Linked DNA regions of Yarrowia lipolytica. The protein of the gene in region 2 binds, or shares a complex with, the protein of the main gene of each other region. Links are inferred from orthologs where the notes say so. Each region holds a gene or a part of one and is shown on either strand. Other genes may lie near its edges.

Evidence for each region.
Region 1: YALI1_F30106g (region 2) and YALI1_B29507g share a complex: the UniProt entries of both Saccharomyces cerevisiae proteins name them as parts of the mitochondrial small ribosomal subunit. The link is inferred for Yarrowia lipolytica from reciprocal best matches to the Saccharomyces cerevisiae genes RSM10 and RSM19.
Region 3: YALI1_F30106g (region 2) and YALI1_F13366g share a complex: the UniProt entries of both Saccharomyces cerevisiae proteins name them as parts of the mitochondrial small ribosomal subunit. The link is inferred for Yarrowia lipolytica from reciprocal best matches to the Saccharomyces cerevisiae genes RSM10 and MRP10.

What each region holds. Positions count from the first base shown.
Region 1 is NC_090771.1:2,949,381-2,951,903, forward strand, and holds YALI1_B29507g (mitochondrial 37S ribosomal protein uS19m), read left to right. Parts: upstream 1-1,320; coding exon 1,321-1,360; intron 1,361-1,680; coding exon 1,681-1,910; downstream 1,911-2,523. Other genes in the region: YALI1_B29505g (uncharacterized protein), read right to left, coding at 1-1,173; YALI1_B29528g (uncharacterized protein), read right to left, coding at 2,282-2,523. UniProt on the Saccharomyces cerevisiae protein: Component of the mitochondrial ribosome (mitoribosome), a dedicated translation machinery responsible for the synthesis of mitochondrial genome-encoded proteins, including at least some of the essential transmembrane subunits of the mitochondrial respiratory chain.
Region 2 is NC_090775.1:3,009,167-3,011,765, forward strand, and holds YALI1_F30106g (mitochondrial 37S ribosomal protein uS10m), read right to left. Parts: upstream 1,454-2,599; coding exon 665-1,453; downstream 1-664. Other genes in the region: YALI1_F30116g (uncharacterized protein), read left to right, coding at 2,479-2,599. UniProt on the Saccharomyces cerevisiae protein: Component of the mitochondrial ribosome (mitoribosome), a dedicated translation machinery responsible for the synthesis of mitochondrial genome-encoded proteins, including at least some of the essential transmembrane subunits of the mitochondrial respiratory chain.
Region 3 is NC_090775.1:1,335,875-1,337,746, reverse strand, and holds YALI1_F13366g (mitochondrial 37S ribosomal protein mS37), read left to right. Parts: upstream 1-883; coding exon 884-1,063; intron 1,064-1,141; coding exon 1,142-1,231; downstream 1,232-1,872. Other genes in the region: YALI1_F13373g (ubiquitin-40S ribosomal protein S31 fusion protein), read right to left, coding at 1-393; YALI1_F13355g (uncharacterized protein), read left to right, coding at 1,840-1,872. UniProt on the Saccharomyces cerevisiae protein: Component of the mitochondrial ribosome (mitoribosome), a dedicated translation machinery responsible for the synthesis of mitochondrial genome-encoded proteins, including at least some of the essential transmembrane subunits of the mitochondrial respiratory chain.

The DNA.
Region 1 (2,523 bases), on a different chromosome or scaffold from region 2:
TGAGAAAATAAGTGTTTGCATGTTTCGAACGTAGTGCTCAGTGAGGTTGGTCTTACCAGCCTGGGCCCGCTGCTGGTTGTTCTGCAACACAGAGGCCCAGTCGTAGTAGTCCTGGCCAAGCAGACGATCGGCCTCGTCAACCACCAGAAATTCGATGTAAGAGAAGAGCTCGGGGTTCTCCTTCACTTGCTCCACAAGTCGACCAGGGGCTGCCACAACGATATCGGCAGTCTCCAGAACAGCCCGTTCACGTTTGGTGCTTCGGTCGTTTCGAAGAGCCACAACAGACAAAGAAGATCCCTTGGATAGGTTTTCAAGCACGTCTCGGACTTGCATGACCAGGGGCTTTGTAGGGAGTACAACCACAGCTCTGATTCGAGGAACAATACGGTCTCGGAGCTTCTCGATAATGGGGATTCCGTAAGTGGCGGTCTTACCGGAACCGGTGGATGCAGAAACAAGAAGATCGGGCTTTCGATCGGGGGCAAGGAGCTTTTGCTGGGCCAGAAGCCAAGGAATGACTGCCTTCTGCACAGAAAATGCCTTTGTGTATCCTAAAGTGTCCAGGTTCTTCATCATATTTTTGCTCAGATCAAACTCATCAAATGATCCAACATCGTCAATTTCCACATAAGTAGCATTTCGCAAAATGGGCTGTGTCTGAAGTTGGGTCTTTCGAGAGATGGTTGCACTCTCATCGGGTTTATCCTCATAGATTTCAGTCTGGGGAAGCTCCTCGAAGCCCTTAGCTCGAATGGTTCCCTTAGCAAGCTTGATTTTGTTGTTGCCAGAAATCTTGATAGGCGCCAGATCATCTTCACTATCAGAGTCCTCCTCGCCCATATGCTGTTCTCGCTTTCGCTTTCGCTCTAGAGCCTTTTCCTCCGCTCGCTTGGCCAGGTTGGCGGCTTCCTGCTTCTTCTTTCGCTTCTGGTCGGCTGTAAGGTTCTCATCTTCGCTCTCCTCCTCGTCCTTGACCTCCACGGGCTTCTTGGCCTCCTCAGCCTCATCCATGGAGTCGTCCCCAGACTCCTCCTCATATTCCACCTCAGAGTGCTCGTCAGCATTGGTTTCAGGCTTGCTTTCCTCCTCCTCGTGTTTGACCTTCTTGAATGGTACAGGCGACGCCTGTCCGCCCTGGGTAGGGTCAAATCGACGAACTCCAGTGAACATGGTGATGTGTGTTTCGTGGTGTGCTGCAGGCTCGAAATAAATTTATTTGTATGTAGGCCTAAGATTTTCATGCACGAGTATCAAATAGAGTTTAGGTGTAGTAAGCGTTTTTACATCACCCTTTTTGCACTTCAGACCACTCCGAAAATGCTGCCAACACGGGTTCTTTGTCGTTCCGCCTGGAAATGTGAGTATTTCATTTGGTGAACCGAGTGCAGGGAAGAAGATTTTTGCCACTCGTTTTCACCATACTCGCGTGATTCGCCTGTACTTCGTTGCAATACGAGTGACACCACAGGCACAAAGGTATTGGCGATTGTCAAACCGGAAATTGATTGGTTGGACCGGGTGATAACACGGGCCAGTCAGGTTGTTGCCTCTCGATTCGTCGTCAGAACACCTCTCAGCTCTCGCGACTACGCACAGAATCTGCTAGTTGTTCTCCATTGACCAGATCAACACATCGCCAAATCAAGACATGACACACATCCTCCAAAGCTAACACAGGCCCTCACATTGTCCCTATCGACCTGAAGCCATGGGCTACAAAGAAGCAGCCTATCCAGACCGATAAGCGAGCCGCAACCATCATCCCCCAGTTTGTTGGTGTGACCTTCCACGTCCACAACGGTAAGGAGTACGTTCCTGTCAACGTCACCCAGGATATGGTCGGAACCAAGCTTGGCGAGTACGCTTACACTCGAAAGCCCTTCCGATACCGACAGACCAAGAACTAATTTGTATATAGCCAAGATTCATGCCTCAGAAGCTGTACATACTGTACTGTAGCTTTACAGTGCCTGAAGAGCCACCTGACTTCACCTACAAGTAGCTATTCACATGGTGATACGCTAAAGTCTTTGTATCTATCCATAGATACAGCGACTTTTTCCACCCAATACGTAAGATGGGAATTTTGAGCCAGGATAATAAATCTCGCATCTTGGCTCTAAGAGTAATTGAACTTTTAGTTAGATTTTTAGTTGATACCGTAAAACATTAGTGGAACTTATCGGTGGGGGTAGTATGTACACTACACATCCACTGAATACTCGTGCTACATTCTTCAAGTCACATTGCCAAAGTTACTGTTTATAAATATACATGCCTACATTCGATTTCCACGGGAGTCGACATTTTTGAGTCGGTATTCTCGTAGCTCGCCGGTTCGGTCCACCTGCGAGCCATTGCCCCATCCTCTTAGACGGATAACCATGCAAGTGGCATTGTCCGAGCCACCCAAAGCCGCTGCGTACTCAACCACCTCCTGGGCAGCCTGCTGTGGCGATCCTCGTCCAGAACCGCTACTGTTGGCGGTAATGGTTACCAGGTCCACGATCTCTTGATCAG
Region 2 (2,599 bases):
GGCAGGATACCGCGGAGACTACGACGAGGGGCCACCACGTGGGCCCTCAGTGGGATTACGCTATCATTAATATCGATATGCCAAGCCTGCTATCACGGACAAAGGGTTGCGCCGCAACCCTGGATAACATATAAACCCCTGTATTCCATGTATTCTAATACACCTTTCTTGAGAGTGACGGCAGTGACCATACCTTCGGTATGGCCACCCCGGCTGAGTCATCAGTCTGCTTAGTCACAGTGCCTGGGTTCTAACAAATTTAAGATTTGACTTCGTGGCCAAGTTGGTTAAGGCGTACGACTGTTAGTCACCTGAATGGCCGCCATCGTAAGATCGAGAGTTCGACCCTCTCCGAGGTCGTCAAATCATTTTTTGTTTCTCTGGGTTGAAACGAAGTTTTGTTTTTTTTGGAATTGGTAACAATAAGGCTGTCTGATGCTTTCAGGTTGTTTTTATTGTCACTTTGACATCATGTGGCTTATGACAGCTGTTTTAAGAATCCAAACACAACTGGTTCACTTAGTATGTTACTCCGTAAAGCTATCTCGTGCACTATTGAAGCGGCCTCTCAGATGATACTTGAAGCCATAAACTACGCGTGAGCTACTCATTCCATCTACATGTCTGTCATTCAACCGTACTATTCATATATACACTATTTACATTACTCCTTCTGGAGCTGTTGGGTCTGGTCAGCCTCCTTTTCCTGAGCCACCTCCTCGGCATCAAACTCCTTGAGCATCTCCTGCACTCGGGCCTCTACGGCCTCGTTGGAGACCTCATCCACCTCCATGGCGTCCAGCTGGTCCAGAGACTCGGGCAGACCTTCGTGGGTGAACAGCTTGGCCTTCATACCGACACCAGCCAGCTTGTTTTGCGAGAGGAACTGCACCAACACCTGAATGGTATCCTGGGATGCGTTGTTGAGAATGAGCTTTCGGCCGTGGGTTCGTCGCTCGAAGTTTTCCTTGGACTTTGCATGCACGAAAACTGCTCGGTTCACAGTCCATCGCTTGAATCGGGTCTTTTGGGGCACAGGTCCCTCAACGGGGATTCGCAGGTAGTAGGCCGCTCGCTGGGCAAACTCGGTGAAGACCTCTAGGTCCTCGTGAAAGTATGCGTTGAAGAGGAGCTCGGCACACTTGACCTTAGGGGTGCCCTCGGGAATCTTGACCTTGAGAGGTCCGTAGTAGTTGGCGAGAGCAGAAATTGGCAGAGGTCTCTCAGAGTTGGCCTCGTAGATCTTGTGCTCGGTCTGGGTGTAGGTGCCCTGCTTGGGGACCAGCAGATCATCAGACAGCTGCTGTCGAAGGGCCTGGGCCTTGGGGGTCAACTGGGACTCCACTGAGGCCTGGGACATCTTGCCTAGCTCATTTTGTCGGAAAGTGGAGTTGAATCGCACAAGCGCCGTTCGCGGCAGTGTTCGTGGGGCCAGGGTCCGAAGAGGAATCATCGTGTGCTGTGTCGGTGTGGTTTGATGCGAAATTTCACCACACCTGAGTGTCGGTTAAGTTTTTCAGGGTTAGGTCTGGTTGGGACAATTATGTAATGGGGGATGGGATGGGAGAGAGAGTAGGCGGGAGGCGGTACAATAGGCAAAGGGTGTTCTATTTATTGTGCAGTAATTGTCTGTCTATTGGTATTGGTAGTACATGTGATATTGTGGTGTTTAATCCGTGGATCTGGTTTTTCATTCGTTGGGTTTTGGAAGAGTCAGTGTCCGAGATGTGGAATGTCGTCAACGAAACTTGATGGCGCTAAGTAATAAGATATGCTAGTTGATGATTAGTTAAAGGACCGGGCGACTGGCTGATTCATAAATTTATTGCCCACGGCGGCTATATTAACACAAACTGCTACAGTAGATGGCAGGGCAAAGGTTTGCATTATATTCCAACGCCGATGGATGCAACACAATCCTAACTAACAGAAGATGTGTCGAGTGGCGATGTGGGCATAGATGTGAGTGGCGTATACCCTGAAGCCAAACACGTGTTTAGAAGACAAGTGTGAGGAGGAGGAAATACGGGCGGTCTTGATTGTTTAATTGGGTAGGTATGCTCTCAAATTATTTCTCACACGTTATACACAAGCTAACATCTTCATTACTTCAGCTACTGTCCGGTAACGGAGAAGTCTCACTGGTTGGTCAGCTTTCAAATGATCCAAAACTTTGGTTCACCCTCCTACTCGTAGTACACTTGCTTGAACTTTTATGGTAATATATACAGTACAATAAATCAGAGTTGAGGTCTGTGTTGATATATGCTACCAAAAATGGCATGGTGTGCAAATTATACATTGTAAAGGTCATAATCCGACGTTTTTCCACTTTGTATGACTAGCCCCTGTCACTTTTAACCACCTCTCACCATAGCCTCCACTGCGCCTGCCCGACATGCCATCGCCCAAAGTCTAACTCCACATCGCAGTGCATAAACACGCTGATAGTGATCCACACCTATCCACACCCCCAACATGTCCGAGTACCGACGCCAGGCGCACTCGAAATACAAAATGCCCGGGGGTCTGCTGCCTCCGGTGAACCTCGGCGAGGGTTCTGGGCCTACGCACGCCAATTCGGGCTTGCGCACAGACT
Region 3 (1,872 bases), about 1.7 Mb from region 2:
GAAGACACCGGCACCGCAGGACTCAGACTCACACTCTCGTCGAAGTCGCTCAACCTTTCCGTCATCGTCAACCTTGTAGAGGTTGAGGACAGCAAGCTTGTTCTTCTTTCGCTTGTGCTTGATCTTCTTGGGGGTGGTGTAGACCTTCTTCTTTCGCTTCTTACCACCACCTCGAAGTCGCAGGACGAGATGGAGAGTGGACTCCTTCTGGATGTTGTAGTCAGAAAGGGTTCGGCCGTCCTCGAGCTGCTTACCGGCGAAGATAAGTCGCTGCTGGTCCGGGGGAATTCCCTCCTTGTCCTGGATCTTGGACTTGACGTTGTCGATGGTGTCGGAAGACTCCACCTCGAGGGTGATAGTCTTACCGGTAAGGGTCTTGACAAAAATCTGCATTTCGGTGTCGTCTGCAAAGAAAACTGTGCTGTTGTTAGTGGTTGCTCCTTGAGGTCCTGCTCTTCAGCTTTTGCATCGCTCCACTGCGTTCGCTGCGTTCGCCACCGTGTGGTGTGTCGTTATTACTCACCGTCTTTCTAGCCGAAGTGTCTGAAGAAGAAGAAAAGGAAGAGCTGCCGTGTAAATTTATTTCCATGCAAGTTGAGTGGGACTTCTCAAATAGGAAGTTACCCGGACCGCTATAATAAAACCTTATTTGATTTATGGTCACGTGGCGAAATGAGGTGGGGGGGGGGGAAACCGAAGAAAAAAAAACGTCGGTAATCTAGCTATAGCCGTAACTGACAATGCTCCATAGACCCCGTTTATCCGCCGTATCGTATATTTCCAGATTCCTTCCATTTTTTGCTGACTAATAACCCTAACCACCAGCATCTCCAACATGCAGTAAAATTTCACTGCAACATCACCATACACAAAGTCTCGAAAAATGACCGCCCAGAAGTTGCCCAAGCTCAAGTATCTGCGTGTCAAGAACCTGCAGACCGCCGAGGCCCCCCAGGCCGTGCAGCTTCTGTCTCGACTTTTGGCGTGCTGGTCATCCAACGGTGTCAACTCCGAGGCCTGCAAGGAGATTGAACAGGAGTTCAAGATGGCTGCCTGCAAGAGTGTGAGTATGAGAGGAGAAGGGTTGGAGATGATTGAGGCGACAGGGTCGGTTTAATTTCGTTTTGCAATTCTAACTCAGGTTAAACCCGTCAAGCAGCAGGACAGTATCAACTTCCACGCCAAGCGACTTTACCCCAAGATGGTTCCCCAGGGAAAGAACCGACGATAAGCGATGTCATCCATCGCCAGCATGTACATATTTATGAATTCTCTGTGATTTACGATACTGGGAGCGAGACGGAATTGGTAATGGTTGAAGATCGGAGGTGGGATGTGTAGGGAGAGGTGATGGAGGTGTAGGGTTTCCAATGGTCTGTTTGATATGTTGACGCCTCTGGGTATTGTAGTTCTGCAATTACTTGAGTTAACCAGAGTAACCAGAAGTTGTAGAAGAACTCTCTCGATTAGTACAATGTATCATAAAGGTCCATCTCATATCTCCAGACTGTAGACACTTTGCGACCACCCATTATGGCGATACTGTTGAGACGGTGCATGTAATTCGATTCGCTGTAGACTGTTGACGCTTCTTCGTATGCTTCTGTAGACCACTCTAGACCACTCTAATGCGCCGAAGTACCATCTGCTCAGTTCCAGCACGAGGTTCCAGTGTCCAGGTCCCTGTGATAAGTCAAAGGTTTTCAGTTGCACTACGATGCTGCAGGGCTACCAATGTATAGGAACTATAGAACCAGTCGATCCCTTCTCTACAGTATGGATATTCACACAGTTGTGTTCTACATCAGAAGCTGTACCGTAGGTGTAGCATAAGCAAGTATGACAAGGTACGGTACTGTACAGTGGATACGG